Regions from separate parts of the Mus musculus genome. Here all the other regions are reported to be linked to region 4. The links are microRNA targets in miRTarBase. Many come from high-throughput screens and were not tested one by one. Region 4 holds a microRNA gene; each other region holds the end of a gene's coding sequence.
What was found. Region 4 holds the annotated microRNA mmu-miR-3082-5p (GACAGAGUGUGUGUGUCUGUGU, at 2,336-2,357, shown strand). A microRNA usually pairs through its seed, bases 2 to 8, with sites in the 3' UTR of a target mRNA and lowers its output. Matches are read on the target gene's strand: a 7mer-m8 pairs with bases 2 to 8, a 7mer-A1 pairs with bases 2 to 7 and ends in A, and an 8mer does both.

Region 1: the mRNA of Cyp2e1 is a reported target of mmu-miR-3082-5p. Seed matches in the 3' UTR shown: 7mer-m8 at 687-693.
Region 2: miRTarBase lists Fam81a as a target of mmu-miR-3082-5p. Seed matches in the 3' UTR shown: 7mer-A1 at 2,556-2,562.
Region 3: the mRNA of Psmb11 is a reported target of mmu-miR-3082-5p. Seed matches in the 3' UTR shown: 7mer-A1 at 567-573.
Region 5: miRTarBase lists Orc4 as a target of mmu-miR-3082-5p. The part of its 3' UTR that is shown has no 7-base or 8-base seed match.
Region 6: the mRNA of Ssr1 is a reported target of mmu-miR-3082-5p. Seed matches in the 3' UTR shown: 7mer-m8 at 2,821-2,827 and 7mer-A1 at 3,900-3,906.

The regions. Positions count from the first base shown.
Region 1 is chr7:140,774,223-140,778,304 of GRCm38, forward strand. Cyp2e1 (cytochrome P450, family 2, subfamily e, polypeptide 1) reads left to right here. Exons shown (of 9, transcript NM_021282.3): 9 at 336-768. The coding sequence ends at 520. Syce1 (synaptonemal complex central element protein 1) reads right to left here. Exons shown (of 13, transcript NM_001143765.1): 11 at 3,913-4,023; 12 at 3,695-3,776; 13 at 3,007-3,510. The coding sequence ends at 3,439. Among named protein-coding and RNA genes, the nearest start is that of Syce1, 12 kb to the right of the region's middle.
Region 2 is chr9:70,087,245-70,091,331 of GRCm38, forward strand. It overlaps Fam81a (family with sequence similarity 81, member A), which reads right to left. Exons shown (of 9, transcript NM_029784.2): 9 at 2,066-3,647. The coding sequence ends at 3,523. Among named protein-coding and RNA genes, the nearest start is that of Gm39369, 6.2 kb to the left of the region's middle.
Region 3 is chr14:54,625,930-54,630,016 of GRCm38, reverse strand. Psmb11 (proteasome (prosome, macropain) subunit, beta type, 11) reads right to left here. Exons shown (of 1, transcript NM_175204.4): 1 at 461-4,087. The coding sequence ends at 3,782. Among named protein-coding and RNA genes, the nearest start is that of Psmb11, 2.7 kb to the right of the region's middle.
Region 4 is chr17:25,829,676-25,833,762 of GRCm38, reverse strand. Mir3082 (microRNA 3082) reads left to right here and starts at 2,335; the gene lies at 2,335-2,398. Jmjd8 (jumonji domain containing 8) reads right to left here. Exons shown (of 9, transcript NM_028101.5): 4 at 4,061-4,087; 5 at 3,910-3,978; 6 at 3,702-3,821; 7 at 3,557-3,624; 8 at 3,329-3,463; 9 at 1,920-3,253. The coding sequence ends at 3,173. Stub1 (STIP1 homology and U-Box containing protein 1) reads left to right here and starts at 844. Exons shown (of 7, transcript NM_019719.4): 1 at 844-1,071; 2 at 1,519-1,717; 3 at 1,802-1,967; 4 at 2,132-2,219; 5 at 2,398-2,454; 6 at 2,545-2,661; 7 at 2,753-3,129. The coding sequence starts at 910. The coding sequence ends at 2,878.
Region 5 is chr2:48,901,540-48,905,626 of GRCm38, forward strand. It overlaps Orc4 (origin recognition complex, subunit 4), which reads right to left. Exons shown (of 14, transcript NM_011958.4): 14 at 1,286-4,060. The coding sequence ends at 3,872. It overlaps Acvr2a (activin receptor IIA), which reads left to right. Exons shown (of 11, transcript NM_007396.4): 11 at 1-1,725. Among named protein-coding and RNA genes, the nearest start is that of Orc4, 46 kb to the right of the region's middle.
Region 6 is chr13:37,976,293-37,980,364 of GRCm38, reverse strand. It overlaps Ssr1 (signal sequence receptor, alpha), which reads left to right. Exons shown (of 8, transcript NM_025965.4): 8 at 559-4,072. The coding sequence ends at 626. Among named protein-coding and RNA genes, the nearest start is that of Gm52041, 12 kb to the right of the region's middle.

The DNA of each region.
Region 1 (4,082 bases), not on the chromosome of region 4:
TCATCTTAACAGTCCATGTTTTGCATAGGCTTCACTTGCCCCAGCTTCCTAGAGTTATGGACGATACAGTTTGGGTCCATTTCCCTAAACTACTACTTGTTTATGCAGTGGAGCTCTCAACGAGTGGGGTCAGTTGCTGGTTCAAGTCAGTGTCACTGACATTCATGAGCTCTGACATATGGGCATTGGTGTTCTGGGACTAAGGGCAAGGATGGAGAATCCTGGTTTCAGTGGTGTGCCTGAAGCCTCCTCCCACACCTCCAAGCCCTCAATGTTATGCGAGTTAGCTCTGCTCTGCTCCCTCAGCACCTCATCAGCACTGTTGTCTCTTCTAGGAAAGCGCGTGTGTGTTGGAGAAGGCCTGGCCCGCATGGAACTGTTTCTGCTTTTGTCTGCTATTCTGCAGCATTTTAATCTGAAGTCTCTGGTTGACCCTAAGGATATCGACCTCAGCCCTGTTACAATTGGCTTTGGCAGTATCCCACGCGAATTTAAACTCTGTGTCATTCCTCGTTCATGAGACCTGCTGCCCATCATTATCCCTTACAAAATGACTGTTTAAAAAAATGCCAAGCGGGCTGGTGAGATGGCTCAGTGGGTAAGAGCACCCGACTGCTCTTCCGAAGGTCCGGAGTTCAAATCCCAGCAACCACATGGTGGCTCACAACCATCTGTATCGAGATCTGACTCTGTCTTCTGGAGTGTCTGAAGACAGCTACAGTGTACTTACATATAATAAATAAATAAGTCTTTAAAAAATGCCAAGCATATGGAGTTCCTATCATAAAATGAAACAGAAAAGTATAAGATATTGATGAACTATGTTAGTTGTAGATTTAATGAGAGCCTTGTCCCCTTGACCATGTGAAAGTTCCCCAGTGAGTGAATAGCATTTCACAGCCAGTAGTATAACATCTTCTAATCTATCAGTCCCTGACTTCTCAAAATAATTTGCTTGCATATGCATGGATGATCTGGTTATCTGCCCATCACAAGATACTGAACTAACAATATACTCAAAGTTCTTTTACCATATAGGTATCATATTCTTGGGTTCCTAGGACTATAATGTGAGCAGCTTTATGCTGACCCAACTTTTTCCAGCTGATTTATGTTGGGGTTCTACTTAAACCCAGAATTAACAGATACTACGACAGTGACCCTACTGAAGGTGTTTGGATCATCATAGCTCCACAATGGCAAGACTGCTTCCAGGAGGGGAAAAAAAGTGTCATTTTAGAATTTACTTTAGGGCAGAAATGTTTCAACTTCATAGATTACTGTTACAGAAATCCTGAGTGAGGTAACCCAATCACAAAAGAACTCACACAATATGTACTCACTGATAAGTGGATATTAGCCCAGAAACTTAGGATACCCAAAACAGAAGATACAATTTGCTAAACACATGAAACTCAAGAAGAACAAAGACCAAAGTGTGGACACTTTGCCCCTTCTTAGAATTGGGAACAAAACACCCATGGAAGGAGTTACAGAGACAAAGTCTGGAGCTGAGACGAAAGGATGGACCATCTAGAGATGGCCATATCCAGGGATCCCTCCCATAATCAGCTTCCAAACGCTGACACCATTGCATACACTAGCAAGATTTTGCTGAAAGGACCCAGATATAGCTGTCTCTTGTGAGACTATGCCGGGGCCTAGCAAACACAAGAAGTAGATGCTCACAGTCAGCTATTGGGTGGATCACAGGGCCCCCAATGGAGGAGCTAGAGAAAGTAACCAAGGAGCTGAAGGGGTCTGCAACCCTATAGGTGGAACAACAATATGAACTACCCAGTACCCCCCCAGAGCTCGTGTCTCTAGCTGCATATGTATCAGAAGATGGCCTTATCGGCCATCGGTGGAAAGAGAGGCCCATTGGTCGTGCAAACTTTATCTGCCTCAGTACAGGGGAACATCAGGGCCAAGAAGTGGAAGTGGGTGGGTGGGGGAGTGGGTGGGAGAGCGTGGGGGGGACTTTTGGGATAGCATTGGAAATGTAAATGAAATCAATACCTAAAAGAAAAAAAGAAAAAAAGAAAGATAGGATGTACGTAGCTCTAGGGGCCATTAACTAATTATAGCATCATCTGGCCACTGTCTAAGGTCGACACCTGGTCAGCAGAGTCACCAACTATCTTCTCTTGGTGGTAAAGCTTGAGATGGTTCAAGCCTGGCTCTCTTTTCGAGGAAGTAGCATTAACTTCACAAATACTATTGCAGAAAAGGCATGGTGGCACACATCTTTAAACCCAGCACTCAGGAGGCAAAGGCAGGCACAGATCTCAGTGAGTCTGAGGCCAGCCTGGTCTACATAGCAAATTCCAAACAAGCCAGGACTAAAAATGAGATTCTGTCTCAAAACAAAGAAACAAATAAAACAGGAGTACAGTTCTTTAGAAGAATTAGTCTGGCCTTAAGGAACTTACTATTGCTTTTAGTGTACATATTTCCTCCAAGCTTGGCATGCCCATGCCCATCTTGAAAGTACAGTAACTGTGGCAACCTATAGAAAACTTTGTTCCTGAATCATGGCAATGCAACAGAGCAGACGTCAAGATCTTTAAGAATAGGGCTGTTAGCATCCACTTCTGCATGGAAGGGAAGTATCAAAAGACCCTCAGGAGACCCTTACAAAATCCTCTTCTAGCATTCCACTAAATTCTGTAAGATGAAAAAGAAAAAAAAAAGAACCTGACTGAGGCAGAATTTTAAAAGATATAGATAGCTCTTGTAAATCTCCCTGCTAACTCATTTATTCACTGAGCTGGATTTGACAGAATCTTTCCTTTTTGTCCCCTTCCATATTTAAGGTAAATATACATTCATTTGCATCTTACCAGGAAAACCACAAAACAAATAGCAACCAAACAAGGACCCAATAGAACCAAAGATGAATGGGGAAGGTCTGCCCATTTATGTCCTCCCCAACCAAAAGAGCATTTTTAGTTTAAGATGTTCCTGGCAACAGTTTGGGATTGCTCACACACAATATAGACCACATGCAGACTTAAATTTCATTTATTTTGCTTGAAGAATGAGGTGGTTTATAGTGAGAATTAAGAGCTGGTGATGTGTCTTCCTTTTGTTTCAAAGTATATGCTATTCTGGGCCTACATGAGGGAACTAAATTACCAAGTGGCTTCAGATCCTGTGAGAAGGTTCAGATCAGCATCCTCTGCTCAAGAGAAGAAGCGTGTGTCAGATACTAGTGGTGAGCAAGAGACAGGGAAAGCATTTACTAAGGGTCTGCAGTGTGGACCCTAAGCTAGGTGAAACTCAAAATTGAGCCAAGACATCTCCAGGTTCAAAGACTTGAGGGGCTTGGCCCCAACACCCATTCTTCCACTCGGCACATACTCAGATGAAGCAGGCTACACAAAACATCCGCAAGTGATGTCTGAAGTCAGTAAGTCCTCCAGGCTGAGGAGGGTATTAGGTCCTGCTTGATGGGCGCTCTTGGTCTTGGGCTGTCTCCTCGTGGACTTCTACAGGTTTAGGACTGGCCTGTGGGAGGTAAAGGCCCAGGCATTTTTCCCTGCTCCTACCACCCCTTTCTACCTTTCTGTGCCCATGCTACCATGAGTTTACACCTCTGCCTCAGCTGTGCCTCCTCAGAGGAATGCCCTTTCCACAGACTATACTCTGGAGAATACCACTTTTTTCCTTTCCCTTCTGTTCCCGGATTTACCATCCTCCATGAGCTGTCTTCTTCGTTTTGCGTACTATGAGCAAGGATCTGTACCCCATGCTTTTCCAGTTCTTCCTTCAGCCTGTCCGGGAAGCGTGAAGGACGAGAATGAAAGCAGAAAAATCAAGAAAATATGAAGAGACATACCGGCAGAACAGGGGAAACAGCTGCCATTCACCTTCCTGGGAGAAATGAGGACACAGGAGCTCCGTGCCTACCTCTGCCGTTTCTGCTGTAGCTGGTGGCACCTCTGCTGCAGCTGCTCGTGCTGCTGAGCTGCAGCCTCTAGGAACTCCTCAGCTTTCTTGTTCTCATCCTTGAACATCTGCCTGATAGTGTGGAAAGAAGTCAGTGCTAGACATTTCCTCCTCCTGCCCCACCCTGCATC
Region 2 (4,087 bases), not on the chromosome of region 4:
TTTCAAAGTTCAGGCTCCCATGCCAGTCCTTCTCACCTCCTCCTGGACCCTCCCTCCCTCCAGTTCATGGCTTCCCTCCCCAGATCCTCTGTTCTCCCTAGAACTCTGCAATTCTTGCTATGCTTTTTCTCTGTGTTCAGCTCCTGCCTCTCACACTCTGTTCTCTCTGGTTCTCTGGTCTCTTACGGTCTTCCCTCTCTCACAGAACCCTGGTCCTGTCCGTTCTACTCCTTTCTCTCTGATCTAGATTTTTCCAGATGCCTGTGGCTGGCCTCATCTCATATCCACAACAAAAGCCTTCCCCTTAGCCGAGCCAAGGAGTGGTCTAGTCATCAGTGTATATAAAACCCATAGTGGGAGGAGACAGCTGGCTCCTGCAGGTTTCCTCTGACCTCTGTATGTGCACTGTGGCACCCCCCACATGCATACAATTATGTGTGTATACACACACGATACATAAAATGTAATTTAAAACAATAACAAGCACAGTGCCTCGCCCCTCTAATCCCAGCCCTTGAGAAATAGAGGCAGGGGGATTAGGGGTGCAAGGGCATTCTCATCCACATAGTGAGTTCAAGGTCAATGTCGGCTATGTGAGAATGTCTTTAAAAAAATAAGCGAAATGAGCAAGGATGGTCAGACAGAGGCTGGGGGTGATGGCCTGTCAGATAGAAAAGCCAGGATGCATAATCGGGTGCTTCCTAGAGTCGGGCTTCCTACTTATGAGCAGTAGGATTTGAGGTAAGTTGTGCCATTTTTCCGTGACTGTAAAATGACGGACAATGGTATATACTAGACACTGTTAAACAAAATGAGTGAGCACACAGAAGCATCTCAGCGAGGGGCTGTGGGGATGGTGGGCAGCTAGCATCACTTGATCTTCCAGAGAGCAGGTGTTTAGTTCCTAGCACGCATGTCAAGTGATTCACCACCATCTGTAACTCCAGCTCCAACGGATCCGATGCCCTCTCCTGACCTCCGTGAGCCAATGTTCACGTATGTATCACACGTGCACACACGTATACTCACGCATACACATATGTACACGCACACACCCAATGGGATTTTAAAAAATTTTTAAAAAGAGCCTCAACACAGACTTAAAAAGGTCCTTGGCACATAGCCATCCAGGAACTGCTCACTGGCGCGACTCCAGAGGCAGCCTCGAGAAAATCAAGCAGTACGTCCCCTAAGGCAGCTGGCCTGCCAAGGTTTTCTTCCCACACTCAAAGATTCTTCGCATTTAAAAGTCCCATGCCACACTTATTTGGAAATTTTATTCTCTTTATTGCAAATCTCTGGTAAAGGAAAAGACAGGGCAGCTGATTCTCCTTTAAACTTTGGCGAGAAGAGTACTCCATTGTCTTCGCAGGATGGCTGGCCTCCCCATAGCACACAGAATCGCTGGGGGTGGGGGGGTGGGGGGGATTCGGGATAGGGCTGTGACACATACTGGTTGGTGCTGGTGACTGCCTCCCAGATGCTCTGACTTAATGGGTCAGGAGGTTGTTTGGTGTCAGTTGCTCTTTAAACTCCCCAAGTGACCCCAAGCAGCCAGGGTGGAGGGTCCCTGCCACAGTGTCTTGTCACATGGTCGGCAACGTCTCGAATACCTGGCGGTATCACCAGCAGCTGTGTCACCTGCTTACATCACCTGCTAGGCCAGGGTCAGCAGGTGTCCCCTGTCTCCTCCTCCCAAGTGTCCTGTGTGCTCACCCTTCCCCCTTAGAGTCCCCAGGGGAGAGAGACACTGAGGAGGTGTGGCCCTGTCCTGAGTGAGATTTGTGCTTAATCACTCGATAAAACATGGCTAGCCGAGCACACAGGGAAAGAAGAAACCACACTGTCTGGTCACGAAGCATCGCTGACTTCTCCTAGGTGGGCAGATCCTCCTGCATGGAGACGAAACGATGTGTGGGGAGATGAAGAAATGCAGGATGGGTACATGTTCCTCACATAACCTCTCATGCATCCAAACTCAAATCAAAGTTTTCAAGGTCCCAAGAGTAGAATATTAGGTACTTTAGCAGCATATCTTACATGGGTCAACAGTAAGAGCCAGGTAGAATCTCAGTGTGGTTTATTCTAGAAATAGAAAATGCTTTTGATTTTCCTGAGTCCTTGCACATGAGAGAGGAAAGGAAAGGATGGGGTGTTGTTCTTGGAACTTTTAAATGCTCCTGTTCTCTCTCTCTCTCTCTCTCTCTCTCTCTCTCTCTCTCTCCCTCTCTCTCTCTGTGCCCTCACTTTAACACAGAAGTGCAAATGGCACAGGCTCAAGTCTTCAATGACTCAAACATGGCAACTGAAAATAAAACGCCTGCAAAGGTGCCGGGACACCCGTCTCCTCGCAGTATTACAAATGTAGTCTCGCTTTGCCTCTCTGTCCATACAAAGGTGTGTGCAGCTATTCCATGAAGGATGCTGAGTGCGGCCCACCATGACAGCGATGAAATCATTAGGATGCTTAAAATTACATAGGATCTCAGTCTTACACCACAACCCTGATGTGTTTACCACACTGTCTATTTTGTGGGTAATTTCTTTTTTTTTTTTACAGAGGACAGTACAGCGACGTAAGAAAAAAAACCAAGGCACAAGATAGACAGTTACAACAAATGTCTATAAACCCTAGCACGTAGTGCCTGTTTAGGGAACATTTAGGTAAATCGTAAAGTCTGAAAAATTCTAACATTCATTACAACTGATGAACAATTAGCTGTTCGATAAACAGGTTGCTTAGCCACCATCCCATTATTAAATATATGGCTATCACTACACAGGTTGTGAGTGGTTTCAAAAATAGCTTTAAATAGTAAAAGCCGGTACCCCTAGGTGGATATAAATATCGTGCCTTGTGGGATCTAGATAAACGTTGTAAGTTTCTACTTAATTTATAATCTGTATGGCAATTATCAATTTTAAAAAACTATTTTCATTATATAAATTGCAGGGCTTTTTTTTTTCTCTCCCAGTGTTAAACTTCTTCTCTACAAAAGACAGGTGATTTACAAAAAAAAAAAAAAAAAAAAAACCCAACATTTAAAAAAAAAAAACCATATAGACAACAAAAATACAATCCAGATGTGGACTTAAAGCTGAACTCTACCAGGACTTCTCTTAATGTAGGGTGAGGGGCAATACATACCTGTAGCAACTCATTCACTTTTTAATCAAAAGAAAAATCACCATGGTGGGTTTTTTTTTTTTTTCCAAAATAGTAGTCTTGGCTAGAGCATCAAGCATTGAAAATAAATTCTTTTCATTCATAAAAGCCTTTCAAAATCTGAGGGAATCGGGCTCAACTGCACTTAGGGAAATAACGTTGTAAAAATTGTATTTACGATTTTAAGTAAAGGGTGTTTTCAAGACTGAAGGTAAACGCTTAGACCCATGAGAGCGCATTTCTTGGCACATGCACACCCTGGATGGGATCCGGAACATAGCCACGATGTGGCTGCAGAGCCATCTGGCTCTTAGCCCCACGTGCAGTCTCCTGTCAGGTCCTTGTCCCAGCCGTCTTCACATGGCGGTCTCTGGCTTCTGCATCTGCTGGATCTGCTTCTGAAGTTGGTCCCTGTCCAGCTTCATCTTGGCCTCCAGCACTTGTCTGAGGGACCCTATGCTCTCATAGATGGCTGAGAACCCTTGAGGAAGAGGCAAAGGTCACAGGAGTTAACAGCTAAGAAGCAGTGTCTGACCACCTTCTACAGCAATAGTGCCGATTGGTTCTGACCGATACTGAGCCCTTGGGTCAGTGCTGCATGGGAACCTCCATGAAAATTGTGTTTTAGACGCAAAGGGCTCTACTGCAGTCAAGAAAGACAGTAGATGCAGATTTAACCAAGTGACCAAAGCTCACACCACTATCACCAGGAGAAATCACAGCATGTATCTGCTGATCAGATGGCCGGAGCAGGGCGTCTGTCCATCCCGCCGTTCCAGGTTATATCATAAGAAAGTAATCAAACTGCACCTGGGGAACTTTCTGTAAAACACTGCCCTGTAGTCTAAAAATACCAGGTTCAGGGGCTTCTGTGAGTCAAGAGAGCACCAGGCCTTAGGCCTCCAGTTCCTATGGCCATGG
Region 3 (4,087 bases), not on the chromosome of region 4:
GCTGATCATGAGTACAGCCTTGAGGGCTAGTCTGGTAGAGTAGGCATGTCCCAGGCAGGACGTGGCAAGTGATATCTCCGGGATATTGACAGAAATGTAGACAATAGCTTAGAGGGTTGATATCTGCTCAGCTCTAGTGTTTTTAAGGCTTGTTATAAAGATTTATGTCTATAATTTGGGAAATAAATTCTCTAAAGTGGGGTAAGAGCCCCCCAGGTACTTACAGGGAGGCAGAGCCATGTCTCCATTGCTGGCTCTTTTCTCTGCTGAAGTTGCATTAAGAGTCCTGCATAAGAGCAGGTGTGTGTCCATCCCTCCAGGGTCTTAAGAAACTGAAGATGCAGCAGCCAAAGCAGGACACCAGAGAGATCAGGGTCCTGCGGTCAAGGCAAGGAGGCCCTTTGGTCTCACCCTGATACCTGCGTCAACCTTTAAAAATCATTGGAACAGAGCCGGGCGTGGTAACACACACCTTTAATCCCAGCACTCGGGAGGCAGAGGCAGGTGAATTTCTGAGATCGAGGCCAACCTGGTCTACAAAGTGAGTTCCAGGACAGCCAGGGCTATACAGAGAAACCCTGTCTCGAAAAACAAAACAAAACAAAACAAAAGTACAGCATAAATTAGAAATAGAAAAACTAAGAAGTTGTTATGTGGATAGAGGCTGATTGGCTATAAACTCACAACAAACAGCACCCACATGATGGCTCACAAGCATCTCTGACTCCAGGGGATTTGATATCCTCTTCTGACCTGCAGGCAGCAGGCAAGTATGTGGAACAATACATACATGGAGCAAAATACCCATCCATGCACATGAGTCTAAAAAAAGCATTAAAGCAAAAACACTGAGAGGAACCTGGGGCTGGAGAGGTGACTTAGCATTGACTCTTCCAGAAGGTCCTCCTGTTTGATTCCCTGCCCCCACGTGGTGGATCACAATCATCCAGAACTCTGCTTCCAGGAGACCTGATACCCTCTTCTAACCTCTGTGGGCACCAGGCATGCATGTGACATGCATACATACATACATGCATACATGCATACACTCATATTTAAAGTCAACAACAACAACAAGACAAACATTTCCTCAAACACTGTTTAAATGTTTTCCTGGTTCATGTATTTACACAGTGTATCTTTTTCCTATCCTTTTCCACATGTCAGTCCTGGGGACTAAACTCGTATGTCATCGGGTTTGGTGGCAAGTACCTTTACCTGCAGAGCCATCTCTCAGCCCCTCGAAATTCTTACAGGGTTTGGGGATACAAGCTCATCAGCAAAACCTGTAAGCTTACATATCTCATCACCTGCCAAGAAGAATGAAGATCAAGAATAAGAATAAGATCATGAATAAGACCAAGAATAAGATCATGGAAGGAAGAGAGAGGAGAGAGGAGGAGACGGATGTAGATGCAAGTTCTGCTCTTTCAGGGTTCTAGCCTCCTTGTCCAGTCTGAGAAGAGAGGCACAGAGCATCTCAGGGGATTGAGATGCACAGCAGCCTTTGGCTGGTCCCAGATGTTCATCCCAGGTCCCAGACCATCCCTCTGCCCCTGCCTCTGTTCACTGCCTGAAAGCCTCAGAGTAGACCAGGGTGAGGAGCAGCCATAGGCTCCTATACAGCCCCGCCCCAACCTCCTCTTTTTTGTGGCTCTCCACTGTGCATGATGGCTAGCGCTGGGCTACACAGGCTGCAGCGGCTGCTCTGAGTCAAGTGCTGCTCCTCTCTCTTCCACAGAACAACACCACATGCCTCGCCCACCACACTGAAGTGCAGATGCCTATCTTAACTCATTCCCCGACAGCTGGACATAAGACCCTCATCAATGGCCATGAATCTGAACCCACTTATGCCTGTGCAAAAGTTACCTCTCAGGCTGGAGAGGTGGCTCAGAGGTTAAGAGCACTGCCTGCTCTTCCAGAGGTCCTGAGTTCAAATCCCAGCAACCACACGGTGGCTCACAATCATCTGTAATGGGATCTGATGCCCTCTTCTGGTGTGTTTGAAAACAGGACATTAAAAGAAATAAATCTTAAAAAAAAAAAAAATGACCTCTCCTCATTTGCTTCTTCAGTATCCCTAACCTTTGGATGTCACTCCTGGAGGATCATATCTCTTCCCCAAGGCTAGGAAGTTTGCAGGGGATGAAGGATGCTTTGAAGGCCAATAGCCAGATTTCTACCCTGGCTTGCAAGCCAGACCCCATGTATTGGGAACCTTTCTGTAGCACTCTGGGTTTGGGAGTTTGTTTGTTTCTTGTTTTTTGTAGGGTTGTTTGTTTGTTTGTTTGTTTGTTTGTTTGGCTTGGTTTGGCTTGGCTTGGTTTGGTTTGGTTTGGTTTGGTTTGGTTTGGTTTGGTTTGGTTTGGTTTGGTTTGGTTTGGTTTGGTTTGGTTTTTCAAGACAGGGTTTCTCTGTGTAGCCCTGGCTGTCCTGGAACTCACTCTGTAGACCAGGCTGGCCTCCAACTCAGAAATCCGCCTGCTGCTGCCTACTGAGTGCTGGGATTAAAGTTGTGCATCACCACTGCCCATCCTCCATTTTCTCTGGGCTCCCCAGCTTGCCTTTTGACTCTCCAGAGTTTGGAGAGTCTGGGTAAGAATCTGTAAGTCTAAGTCTGATTTCAAAGAATTCTTAATTCGAAGTGCACACTGTCAAGGAAGGAGAAGCAGTTGTCAGTCTTAGGACTGGAGGCTTCAGGTGAGAGGAAAGTTCTTTGGGTTCCCTTTCTCTGGATGCCCAGCCCTGAGGAGGAGGCAGTGGTGTTCCTGAAGCTGAAATCCTGGACGTCCAGAGCAGGCCAGGAAGGCCAGATGTGCTAGCTGGCACCAGAGGCACAGCACCCTGCCTCTGGTCTTCATTCTCCAGCAGGAGCAACCAGGAGAGGCCGGAGCGAAGAAGCAGGGAGAGATCTGCAGGGTAGAGAGCAGGGATGTGTGTGCTACAGGGCATGGCTCAAACCCTGACCAACACAGCAAGATGAGACCGGGAATGGGCAGCTTCTCTGAGCTCTTCCCTCCAAGCCCATGAGTTCCTTGGAGTTCATTCATCTCCAGACAACAGGCAGGGGTTTGGCCCATTCCCCAGAAGCCTGCAATGCAGGCAGAAAAACAAGGCAAGACAGTGGAGGCTGGGAGGGAAAGATGCAGAGAGCTGGGGAAGGATTAAGAGTGTCTTAAGCCCCACAACATTGTCACCTACTGTAACCTGCGTAAGTCCTGTAACTCTCTAAACCTGACCCAGCTTCAATAAACAATCATGCTTGCAAAAGCTGTCATGGGAACTGCACTCAGTATAGGTGGAATCATTATAGCCATTACAGTCATGGTGGGGGTCAGGGTGTGGAGGGCCAGCAGAGACAAGCCCATCACTAAACTAGGCTCTCTCCTGGCCATTCAGCCTGACCAAGTTGAAAAGGTGACCAGCTGAAAGAGAAAACAAACCAGATAAGGACCAAAATGAGAATACCAACTGGGGTAGAATGACAAAAGAGGGCCCAGCACATAGCATGACAGTTGGCACAAAGTAGGCATGCAATGAGTGTTTGTTTAGTCACTTTAGAGGCAGAAGGAGGCAATACCATCCATCAGGTATCATCAGAACATGTTGGACAGAGACATCAGTAGCTCTGGGAAGCAGAGAGGATGGGAACTTAAACAAAGCAGGAAACCCAAAAGGGCCAGAGCCAGATGCCCGGGGCTGCTCCCAGAACTAACCCTGCCAAGGCAGCTTCATCCCCTAGTCCCTTGTCCTGGCAGTCCCCAAGTTCTGTCCTTTCTTACATTGTTTCAGTCTTCATTATTATCGCGCAGTCTTCTGGCGTCACCTCCTCTTGCTCCACAAAGAGTTCTTTACATTCTCGAGCACCTTGCGGCGTGGCAGGCTCAGGATAGATTCCACAAGCTTTTGCCTCCAGCTCCTGCTCCAAGCTCCGGGCTTTCTGCAGCTCCCTATACAGCACGCAAGCATCACTGCGGGATACATACTCCCATCCGCTCTCCCGAACGTGGAAGAGGTCCACTGAGCCCCCTGAATAAGCATCACGGTGGGTGGCATGGGCCACAGCACAGCGGGCCAGGGTGTA
Region 4 (4,087 bases):
GGGGATAGCTTTTTTTGAGCTCCTAGAGCCCCCACCCAACTTGGGCAAAGATGCTACCTACTCACTCGAGGCAGTGGCAGAAACCACGCAGCGAAGTTTGACTGCGGCGCCCAGATCAGCAGAAAGCCGAGTTCTGCTTCTCCAAGTCCGGGGTTGGGGGTGTTAGCGGCCAACAGCTGATGCAGCAGCGGCTAGAAATGCCTCAACGACAGACCATGGGGTCAAAGGGTCTTGGTGCAGGCGCTCTCCAAGGAAACCAGCCGGCTCCGCCCTTGAAGAAGCTCCTCCCCATGACCGCGAGAAGGGCAAGAGTCCAGCCGTGCACCCGCAGCTACTTCTATAGCAACCGCAGAAGGTCCTTCGGTGTCAGCGTGTCACGTGCTTGTTTCTCAGCCATTAATGGCCGCAGGCAGCTCCTCCCGATTCCCGAGGAAGCCCCTCGAGAGCGGTCTGATCTGCGGGCCTCTCTTCTACCCTCAATTCCGCCTTCCTACCGGCGGTCCAGACGTTCCCAGGCTGTCGCGTGAGCCCGTGTGTGCCCTGGTGGTGCGCTAGGACCCGGGCCTAGTGACCGGCCCTCGGAAGGCCACTTCTCAATGACCGCTGCCACGTTCGCCCAGCTTGGGGCCGGAGGGCGGGGCTTGAGCGCCGATGGGCGGAGCCTTGGTCTGAGCAGGGTAGGTCTCGGTTACTGTAGGGCGGGGCCTGTAGAGCGCGGCGGAAGCTTCTCAGAGCTAAGGGAACTGGCTCAATCCACGAGGCTCCGCCTTTGCTCACGTGTCCCCATGCCAGCTCCGCCCCACACCGGAAGTTCCGGTGGCGGATCGCCGACCGGGCGGAGCTGATCGCTGCGCGGGCTGCGAGATCTAGGTGGCCGGGCGCGGAGCCCAAGCCGTGCCGCGCGGCGCCATGAAGGGCAAGGAGGAAAAGGAGGGCGGCGCGCGGCTGGGCACTGGTGGCGGCGGCAGCCCTGATAAGAGCCCGAGTGCGCAAGAGCTCAAGGAGCAGGGAAACCGGCTCTTCGTGGGCCGCAAGTACCCGGAGGCGGCGGCCTGCTACGGCCGCGCCATCGTGAGTGCGGGAGGGGCGGGGGCGGGGCCCGATGTGCCTCCCAGTTTTGTGATCCCGGACAGGGTTTCTGGCAGCCTGGACTCGATGGCTCGCTCGCTCCCCTGGTGCCCGGATTGCTGTTCCCGAGTCTAGGGCTGATTTGACTGGGAACTGGCGGGCGGGATGCTTGATTAAGTAAGACTAAGGATGACACCAGGAGCTCTTGCCCCTTGAGATTTCCAAGCCCAGAGCTTGTAGAGGGGTTGTGGGATTTCTCTCAAAAGCAGTTGGAGGCAAGAAAGCATGGCCAGAATCCAGAGCTCTTGATAATTCGGAAATCTCCAGTTCCTCTATTCCAGCCATGGGCCCCCAAAGCTGGAGCATTGACCAGATCATTGGCTTTCAGCTTGCTAAATGAGAGGGGATCAACTGAGCCCACACTCTTTGACGCCTGGTCTTGGTCCCCAGACTCGGAACCCACTTGTGGCAGTGTACTACACTAACCGGGCCCTGTGCTATCTGAAGATGCAGCAGCCTGAACAGGCACTTGCTGACTGCCGGCGAGCCCTGGAGCTGGACGGGCAGTCTGTGAAGGCGCACTTCTTCCTGGGGCAGTGCCAGCTGGAGATGGAGAGTTATGATGAGGCCATTGCCAATCTGCAGCGAGGTGGGCTGACAAGATGCAAGGTTGAGGGCACCTTGGGGGACCAGGATTGTTGACAAGTGTAACCAAAAGTGTCCACTCCCCTAGCCTATAGTTTGGCCAAGGAGCAGCGACTCAACTTTGGGGATGATATTCCTAGTGCCCTTCGCATTGCTAAGAAGAAGCGCTGGAACAGTATCGAGGAACGGCGCATCCACCAGGAGAGTGAGCTGCATTCATATCTCACCAGGCTCATTGCTGCTGAGCGAGAGAGGTGGGTCCCTCCCCCAGCAGACACTGAGTCACCAGCACAAGTGTTTTTATTGAAGGACAACAACCGGTACATGGGAAGCCCAGGAGGAAAGAGGCCTGAGATGGGGCGGGCTCTGTGATTTCCTGGTCAGGGCCATCACCAACTAGCTTCTGGTTAACCCTCAGGGAACTGGAGGAGTGTCAGCGGAACCACGAGGGTCATGAAGATGATGGCCACATCCGGGCCCAGCAGGCCTGCATTGAGGCCAAGCACGTGAGGGTGCCCCTAGTCCACATGTGGGTCATTGTGTGTGTGTTTGTGTGTGGCATGAAAAGTGCCCCAGCCTTTGGTGGATCTGTTGGCCCATGCATGACATGAGTGCCCTGGTGGACAGAGTGTGTGTGTCTGTGTGGAGACAGGAGTTGCCCACACATGGCACTCAACTCTGCAGGATAAATACATGGCAGATATGGATGAGCTCTTCTCTCAGGTGGACGAGAAAAGAAAGGTGAGGACCCCCGGAAGCTCATCGGCTGCTGCTGGTATGGTGACCCCCACAGCCCCCTCCAGTTCTAGACATTTTCCCCTTGTGCTATAGAAGCGAGATATCCCTGACTACTTGTGTGGCAAGATTAGCTTTGAGCTGATGCGGGAACCCTGCATTACACCCAGTGGTATCACCTATGACCGCAAGGACATTGAGGAGCACCTGCAGGTAAGGAGGGCCCATGGAGACCGGGCCATGGAGAGCCTTGGTACCCGGATCGGTATACTCAGGCCATTGAACACTCTTGACTCTGTTGCAGCGTGTGGGCCACTTTGACCCTGTGACCCGGAGCCCTCTGACCCAGGAACAGCTCATCCCCAACTTGGCCATGAAGGAAGTCATTGACGCTTTCATCTCTGAGAACGGCTGGGTAGAGGACTATTGAGGCCCCATGTCCTGCCTGGCACCCTGGCCCAGGAGGATCTGGAGACGGAAGCTCCAGTCCCTGTATAGTTTGTGTCCCTGGGCCTGCCCCCATCGGCCCTGCTGATGGGTTCTGAACTGCTCCCCTTCTCAGCATACCCCTTGCTGGACCATGAGCCTCCCTTGTCCCCCTTCTGGGCTGGAGAGTGGGTGAGGGTGGGCTGAGGTTGCTGCTGCTGCCACTGTCCTGTAATAAAGTCTGTGAGCACTACATTGGCATGTGCTGGTGCAGTGGGCTTGCCAGTTGCCTGTCTGGCTAGCCAAGGAAGGTAGAAATGAAGACACTGGTGTCCAGATTGAGTGTGGCATGCCACCACCGATCAGGAAAATACAGTACCTGGGAGAAAAGAAAAAAAAAATTTTGATTCATGGCTTTTTGAGTTAGCCCAACCCCCACCTACCAGCTACTGACTTCACCAGCCTGGATGGTACATTCTAGAGGCCGTGCTGACAGGGCTAGAGATGGGTATATTTCCAGCAGCCAGGCCAATGTGGTCTTGTTAGGGTGGAACTCAGGTGTCTTCTCAGGAGGGTAGAGGAACCAGCGCTGGAGGCAGGAGTGTAAGGTCACTATGTGTGCAATGGACTATAGACACCAGATTTACACACACACATAACACACACATAACACTGTACTGACCTTCCGACCATAGATAACCTCTGAGAAACCAGGCCCATGCCAGTGGAAGGGTACCCCAGATCCAGCTCCTGTGGGGTCAGTTATGAATAGCTGATGAACAAAATATATATGGGCTCCCCCAAGTTTGTTTTGAAGTAGCCCCTACCTGCAATTCCAAAGCTGTAAGCAGGGGTGGTTCCCAGGAGACGGAATGGTGGCGGAGAGTAGTGCTGGAAGAGGGATGCCCACTCAGTGAAGTTGTTGTCTCCAAAAAAGTACAGGGTGTCTGCCAGCAGAGAGGGTGATAGGCAGGAGTACTGGCAACAGTGGGCTCCCAAGTACCCCACTCCCACCGCTGCCTGGGTCTGGCTCACCATTGCCTAGGGATGCAGGATCCTGGGGCTGCAGCAGCTGTTCCACATATTCCTGGAAGGGCAGGTCCACTACAAGAAGGGGGAGCCAGTCGGGACTGGTCAGTTCTGCCTTTGAGATGTGAAGGCAAACCTTGCAGGGTGTGTAGCTCACCTTTCTGGTAGGAGTAGGTGTTGGCTG
Region 5 (4,087 bases), not on the chromosome of region 4:
TAAGTGGGGAGGATAATAGCATTCTTGTTTGTATGCCACACACCATAGAGAACTGTGCGTTGTCTCTGTACCCAAGGTCTCACTGTATTCGTAAGGTTGCCAAGTTCAGTGTTCATTGTTTTGATTTCTACATATTTGGCCCCTCAAACTCTTGATATAGGTTTGCTTGCACTTGTAAGCTAATCAAGGAAAACCATAAGAAAATATGCATATAAGGAAATTATTCCTCTCCATAAGCAAACTACTACTGGTTTTAAACATTCAACCTCCTTTAAAAGCTGATAAATGAGGGATAATACGACTGTTCGGCTTAAGAAAGCACTACAGATAAATTTTACCAAGACTGGTTCATGATATAAGATGCTTTGTCTTTATGCTAAAATTTTTTTTTAAGGAAATCTTGGGTATTGTATGTAAATCTAGCTTATCAATTTTAAAACTTGTATTCTCTTAAGAACTACATTAACAGAAAGCCTTTTTTATAAGCAGTAACGTTAAGAATGTTCCAGTGACTACCTGCCCTTATACCTAGTCTTGTTAAAACTTTCTTTTGCAGGGCATTTTAGTGTTTGGTTTACAGTAAGTGCAGAATGGGCAGATAAAAAGATTGAGTTAGGGACATTGAAAAAGAAAGATCAAAGAATGAAAACTTTTTTTTAGGGAGATGGCAAACTTGGACCCCTGTATATCTTCATGTGTATGGTGCTCACGATGTCTTGTACTTTGCCTTTCTGATACCCACCAGAACTGCTGCTCTTACTCTACCTTGCCCAAATCTCCCATGTGAGAAATGCTTTATGATCAACTGCCATAGGACTGACTGATGGAGTAACCAGTGTTTGAATTTATTTGAAGTCTATCTATGCCCTGCACAGATCTTGTATGTATTTTAGATGCTAGGAGTTTTAGCATGTGATTTGTGACTCTTGTTTGGATGTTTATTACAGGTACCTTGTGAATTCCAGAACAGAGACTGTGCCTCACAATTATTGGTCCCATGAACTTGCACTATCTTTCATGGTAATATTCTAAAAATATAACCAGGAAAAACAAAAAACAAACACCTTTGGACTTAAAGACAGAATTATGTATCACACACAATTATGAAAACATCGCTTCTGACCCTTTTTCTTATCCTTAATAATTAAGTCACATTTAAGTAAAATTCAAATGGTTGGGAAAAACAAAACAAAACAAAACAAAACCAAACTCCTCACCAGATAGATGGTAGTTTAGTGGAATAGAATGATTACTGTTTTTTAAAAAAAAATGCTTCATCAGATATTTTCCAGTTTCTCTTTTTTACTTTTTTGAAAAATTACTTTTTAGGAAGATTTGGTATAATGTGCATAAAATTATTTACAATTTATGGACAAAGATACAAGTAGCATCTTGATTAAACATCATTTACCTCAGATATTCAACCAGCAGTACGTTTTTTATGCAGTCTCAACCCGTATCTCCCTATTTGTTACCTCTCAAAATATTGGTAAACAATTATTTTAGCTTTACTCTGTATTTCTTGTCAGTGTTTTGGGCACAGGTTGTTGTACTACTGTCATATTGTACTTGCTATTTTTTTTTTCTGCAAGTATTTAACAGAAAGCTAAAAATGAAAAAAATCCCCATAAAATCCCACCTTGAATAAGTGATTGTTAAATATTGTACAAATAAAATGTATGCTATCCCCATTCCATCCCCATGTTAAATAAAAAATGAATATGGTATTATTTGCACATGCAGTTTTTCTTTAGCTATGAATTTATGTTGTTAAAGAGGGTAATGAGAGCTTTCCAACTTATGGTCAGGCTTCGGTCTTGAGGTTTTCAAGGGTCATAAGATCAAGGAGGTTGTGAATTAGGGACTTTTCCTTACACCGTTGCTTGATCAGACTGTATTTCTACCCAAGTGTCTATGTTGGCCCTTCTTGCCCATGACCATAGGCTTATTCTTAGTCACACATGCATCAGATTATGTGCTCTCAGGGTTAACAGTGAAGGCAACAAGAACCTGCACTGTTAAGTCACTCACAGCAAAAGGCACACCATGGTAGAAAGTACCTCACTGGAGTAGAAACACCACTGCAGAGTCTGTGATGGATGTCTAAATCTTTAGGGCAGTGGATACCATGTCCTTACATTATAAGACGTTACCTAATGTATGGAAGTTTGGACAATGGATTTTAATTTTTCAGACACGTGTCTGCATAAAATCAGATGCCTTTTAAACAAGATCCATGTTTCACTAGGCCACATGGAGGAAGGCTACATGGAAAGTCCTTTTTGTTTGTTCTTCCATCTCTTGGCCCAGTGGAGTCTTGAGCAGAGTGAATGAATGAATTCTCTTCATTGCAGAGAATCTTCAAGTCAGACTTTGTGTTCACAATCATTCGTCCCCCTCCGCTCCTGTAGTTGAGATAGCTTGGGCTAGTTTGGAAATGTTTTTTAGGCTCCTAAAAGTATATACCTTTCTTGCTTCTACTCTTGTGGAATCACATGTTAAAGCCAGACACTTCAATATCAAACGTTCTTGTGATTTGTGTTTTAGAATCTAATTTTTCTCACTTTAGAATTATCTAATAATGTATTTTGAACAACTTGTAAGGTGGAAGTAGTTTAAAAATTGGACATATATGTTTATACTTGTATGACCTTGATATTACAGCTTCATTTTTATCATGACTAAAAGAAAGACACAGAAAGCTAAGCATGTTTTACTGTGAAAGGGAAAGGCTGTGAATGAAGAAAGTTTTAACTATGAGGTACTACATTAATGCACAGAAAATTTATATTTAAGATTTCTTAAAAGTCAAATTATTCCTTACAGTATCCTGTAAAAATAGTAAAACATTTGTTGCTAAGCTTTAGTTTTTAACACTGGCTTTAATGTCAGTCAAACCAAGCTGCATTCAAGGTCACATCAGTCATTCCCATACTGTGATCCTGACACTGGTGTTAGTTTTCTGATCTGTAAATAAGAGCATTTAATTCTGCAGATACTTTACAAACTGCACATACAAAGGATTATGTATTTTATAAAATCTTACTACAACTAAATATGCAATCAAATATTCTTGAACAAAGGATCTCTGAGATTAAATTCCATTTTAACCTGTGAGTTTTGCCTATGAGCTTAGGAGGTGGACGCTGACCAACATAGCATGTTAAGAGAATTCCTTTTTTTGAAGCCAACAGCCAACACTGTGGAATACGTATTAGTTGTGGAAGTAGATGCCCAGGAATCCTTTAAGGTACCTGTTAGATGGCAATTTTGATCCCTTCTGAACATATACAAAGAATGTACATGGAAAAAAAAATCCTACAATTGTGGTGAGATATGCAGAGAAGAAAATGATGAGTTGTTTGGACTCTTTCCACACAAGTTCTTCAGCCCAAATGGGCCAGTTTACTAAACTAGAACACTGGGGGATCTGTAGAAGATCCAAAATTGGAGGATCCTATAGGAACCAATTCAGGAAAATCAACCCAACTCCAATATCCACAGGCGCCTAATCTAGCCGGAATATTCCTCATGTAATTTCTGTTCGTATTTCTCTCCTGACTGCTTAGGATTATGATCTGTAAACTAAATGCTTTGTTGGAATTAACCTTTCTAATGGACCACATACACTTTAAAAGAGTATCAAATCATTTTATGGACCATGCGTAAAATAAGCACATTTTATTCTTATGAACTGCTACTTGTGTGGTGCAATTTAAATTAATGAAACTGTGTCCATGCGTGGTCATTATTCAAAACATACTAAGTGCAAATTTCCCATAAACTATTTATAAACAAAGCAATGTAGTAGCGTATCTTATTAAATAAAGAACAGTACTTTAAGGTCTTCACAGAAATGTACTTAAAATCTTCACAGCCAGCTTAGTGAGGATGTTGCCCACTGCCTAACATCTGTAGGGCAGTTGGAGTATTTCTGTAGAGCATTCATAATTTGAGTATTATCCAAAAGTAGTTTCACTAGCTGGTATTCTCTCTGAGAATTTACTGAAGTTCTTTCCACGGGTTTTATTAATTCCAACTGTTGTAAGTGCTCAAATGCCTGCAAGAGAAAAGACAAAGCTTAGAT
Region 6 (4,072 bases), not on the chromosome of region 4:
TACTGGAGTGGTTTTAGCATTGAGGTACTAATGGCCTTTGTTTGCTTCTCCAGTTAAGTTTGTATAGTTGCCAAAACTTAATGCACCCGCAAAGACTAAATTTTGTGTTTGTGCTGAACATAAATATGCTCCAATTGTATCTTTTAAATATTGTGTGTGTTTTTGAAGAAGAGCCTTGCAGAAGTCCTAATCCTCCTGCTTCCATCTCCCACGTGCTGGGATGTAGACCTCTATGCCTGGGTCTTTTAAAGCATTTCAGAATTCTTACTTGTGCACTTGTGAGCATGTTATTGAATGTGTGTGGTGTCTGCAGCAATACAGCAACCATTGTCCAATCATTTCCTATGTTAGATATGCAAATGTTATTTTAATTGGTATTACCCTAGAAGGATATCTTTAAAGTTCTTTTAAAAAACCAAGAGCTAGGTAAAAGGCATTTGTTATGGGGTGTGGGTGTGTGAGAGGTGGGTGGGTGGGTGGGTGGGTGTGTTGAGTTTAGAGCTGCCTGAGAGGCAAACCTCTCTTGCTTTAACTTGCTCCTTTTTTTTTTTTTTGCAGATAAAGCTTCTCCCAGAAGGCAGCCCCGGAAGCGGGCGCAGAAGCGATCGGTGGGATCTGATGAGTAAATGTTGTGTGTGCCGCAGTGCAGCCTGTGCTTGCCCTGCCCTCGTGTTCTCGGCCTCCTGGGAATGAGTGCAGAGAGGCCACGCCACCATAGACGCCAACTGCTGCTTATGTGTGGACTGAGCAGTCGGAGTCTGTGGCCATACGATTGCTGAAAATGCACTGCATTGCTTTTCTAAAGTAACAAATTTGGGGTTTTTTTTTTTTTTTTTTTTTTAAAAAACCATTAAACTGTGTGGGTGTGGATGTCTGTGAGCAGTTGTCTTACCAGAATCAATGTTAAACTACCTGAAACACACCTTTAGCATACTCAGCAAAACGCTCTCGCCACTTCCCTTATGCTAGTTTCCTGTTTTGACCCCAAGTTCAATTAATATTTTTTTCCCAGTGTGGTTTTAGGTGAATTGTTTTGAGGGAATAATTTGTTTATTTCTTGGAATCGATCAAATCCAAACTGAGGGCACAAGCCGGCCTTCTGCTTGCTGTCTGTCCCAGCTTGTATCTAACTGCACAGCAGGGGTGGCTGCTGTGAGCATCAGAGGCATGCTGGGTAGTTTCTGCTGTCTGCTGTGTGCACCCTTCAGGAACTTAACAATGGAGTCAAGGAATTTTGGAATCACTAGCAACAAAATAGTGAAGCCTGACAATTCTACTGACACTAGTATATAAATCTTAATTCTATGCCTGTTTTTGTTTGGTTTTTAACAAAGAATTGTCTGTCTGTGCAGACTGGACTGTTGGGTTGTCCATTGTCCACGTGGCCTGGGAGCCTCGGGGTGGCCTGGAGCCTCTGGGGTGGCCTCTTTGCTTTGCTTGTTTGTTGTTGGCTTTAAACAGACATTTGTTCTTAGTAGATAGAATTTTAAGAAAAAAATTGTCACGGTCTATAATCCAAGGGATCACATTTTAGGAGCAGGAATACATTTTAATTAACCCTGATCTCCAGAGATCTTAATTGGAAAGCTTTAAAGCGGCTACAAGGTTTATCCTTTGACCCCATCTCTGGGGAGTTTTGAATGCTGACCTACTTTTTTGCCTTTATTAATATGAAAAATTCCCAAACTTCAAGCACTTAAGATTTCAAGACCAAAATTAAGTTGGGTTTGATAAGTTGACTTGAGTCATCCCTGCCTGACCTAGCGACTTCACTTGGCATTGTTGTCACACTTACAAGAAGTTACAGTAATGTTGAATGGGACTTGTAAGAGGCTTCCTTCCCTCTGTCTTTGAAGCCATATTCTGCCTGCGTGTATTATAAGGAAGTGGTAATTTCAGTAGCTTTTCTATTCCTGACCTTTTTCATTCTTGTTTTCTTGTGGTCCAATCCCTTCCACACACAGCTAAAGGAAAGCTACAAAATAAAACACACACAGAAACAAACTTATAAGCTGTTTAACGTGTAAGCCAAAGCCAATAATGATTGAAGGTTTTCTGTGTCTTCTGTAATTGTTAATCACTTTGCAAAAGGGGGTGAAATGTCAAATTGCCTGTATTTGCATTTCTGGACTGTAAACTTTGTATGTAATATAATGTGTGTGGTTTTTAATTGAGCTGTATAATCTGTTTATTTTGAGGCCTACAGAACTGTATGGTTTTTTTACTTAATGTAATATAGGGGACCCTTCTCATTCTCAAAAAAACATTTTCCAAAACCTCTGAATATCTAAATTTGGTAAGCTACTGTAACATACTACAGTAAGGTATAAGTAATTAAAACCTTTAAATGGCCCATAGTGTTTAACTAAAAACCTGATAAAACATGGGGAGGTGGAGGGACTACTACACTTAAAAGCTGCCACGTCGTCATCCCTGAGTAACTGCCTTATAGTCCAGCTCTGTGTGTCTGAGGTCCGAATTAGAGCCTTGGGAGTGTAGGATGTATTACTTCTTAGTGTAGACTGGGAACAGTTGACAACTTGAGTCTTCAGGTGCCAGGCGTCTACTATAGCATCAGTAAGTATTTAGCAGAAACTAACTCCATAATGAATGGAATTCAATTCCACACATGGTTTGTTCAAGCACACTTAATAAGTAGTCTACTTTTAAATGTCTTTTTTTAAAAATGTAAATACTTGGATGAAGCTTTTCTTTGTTTCAATATAGTCATTTACATCATGAACATTGTTTTCAGAATTTATCTTTTGAACAAGTTGGCTTTAGAATCTGTCAAGTGAATGTAAGGATCACGAGTATCAAACTCTGTCACTGGACATTGAGAAGAGTGGACTAAAGCGCGGACCCGCTAGCTCAGGTTGTATGGCTTCATCATTTGGATCATGTGCTGTGTGTAGTAAGGGAGCTGTCCGCCAAAGCTTGGCCTGAGAGGTTTGGAAAGGAGAAGTGAGTGAGGCTCAGTATAAAAGGCTACGGGGGAAGAATCAGGTAGAAATGAGACGTAGCAGTGACGTCAGAAAGTGGAACTTGGTAGGCATCAGCCTGGCATCATCATTAGAGCAGTGAGCACTAGAACACTGAGAGTGGAGGTGGAGGTGTGGTTACGCCCTTCCTGCAGTGTGCAGAGGCCTTCCTGCTCTTGATAGAAAGGACGGTGAGCTTGAGGGTGCATTTGACCCACGACTTTTGTTTGTGTTTATTTGGGGTCTTACAACCTTGAATTCCTTCAGTATGGTGTGAAATCATTACAGTTTAACTCAGAACAGTGTATATGCCCTCATCAAGACTGTGATAGACTAGATCCTTGATTTTTCTTTGAGCTCCAAAATTGTTAGCTTAAATGAAGTAGAGTTAAATTAGGTAGAGTTGAGGTACTTTACTTCCGTGGTGTTGGGTAGCATCGGCAGCCATGTAACGAGTCCGTGAACTTGGCCTGTGTTTCCTAAGTAAATCCTTACTCGGTTCAGAGAGGAGCAGCTGGTTCTCATTTCTTGTTAGCGGTGTGCTTGTATGCTTGTGATGGATGATAGATGCGAGGTTTCGCCTCTGCAAAGTACTTGCTAGGGTGCACAGGACTCAGCAGTTGCAGGTAGCTGAGCAATAGTTGGTTCAGGGCATTAATTGTATTGATGTCTGCTTGGTTCTGTCCCTTTTTCCTTTACACAAAACTAGACTGATTCTCTCTGAAGTGCTGGGAGTCTTTCTGGATTTTAGAATTGGGTGGGAACACACACACTGAGGCTGGGGACCCTGCAGTCAGTCGCCGTTGTAAGAAAGTGGGAAGGGAAGCTGGTTTGTTAAACGTGAGTCCTGAGCTGTGTTCTGCGGTGTCCTCCTATTTATGACTCCTTACAACAGCTCCCTGGGGCAGGCGCGTTGTCCTCTGTACATGGAAAAGAGCCACTGAATTGAAGTGACTTGGAGCCTAACTGTTAAATGTGGCTTCAGAAGTGGCTTTTAAACAAACAAACAAACAAACAAACAAAAAACCTTAGTGTGTTTTCCTTTCACGCATACATCATTTCAGAAATTTTACAAAACCAAGCATTTAGGC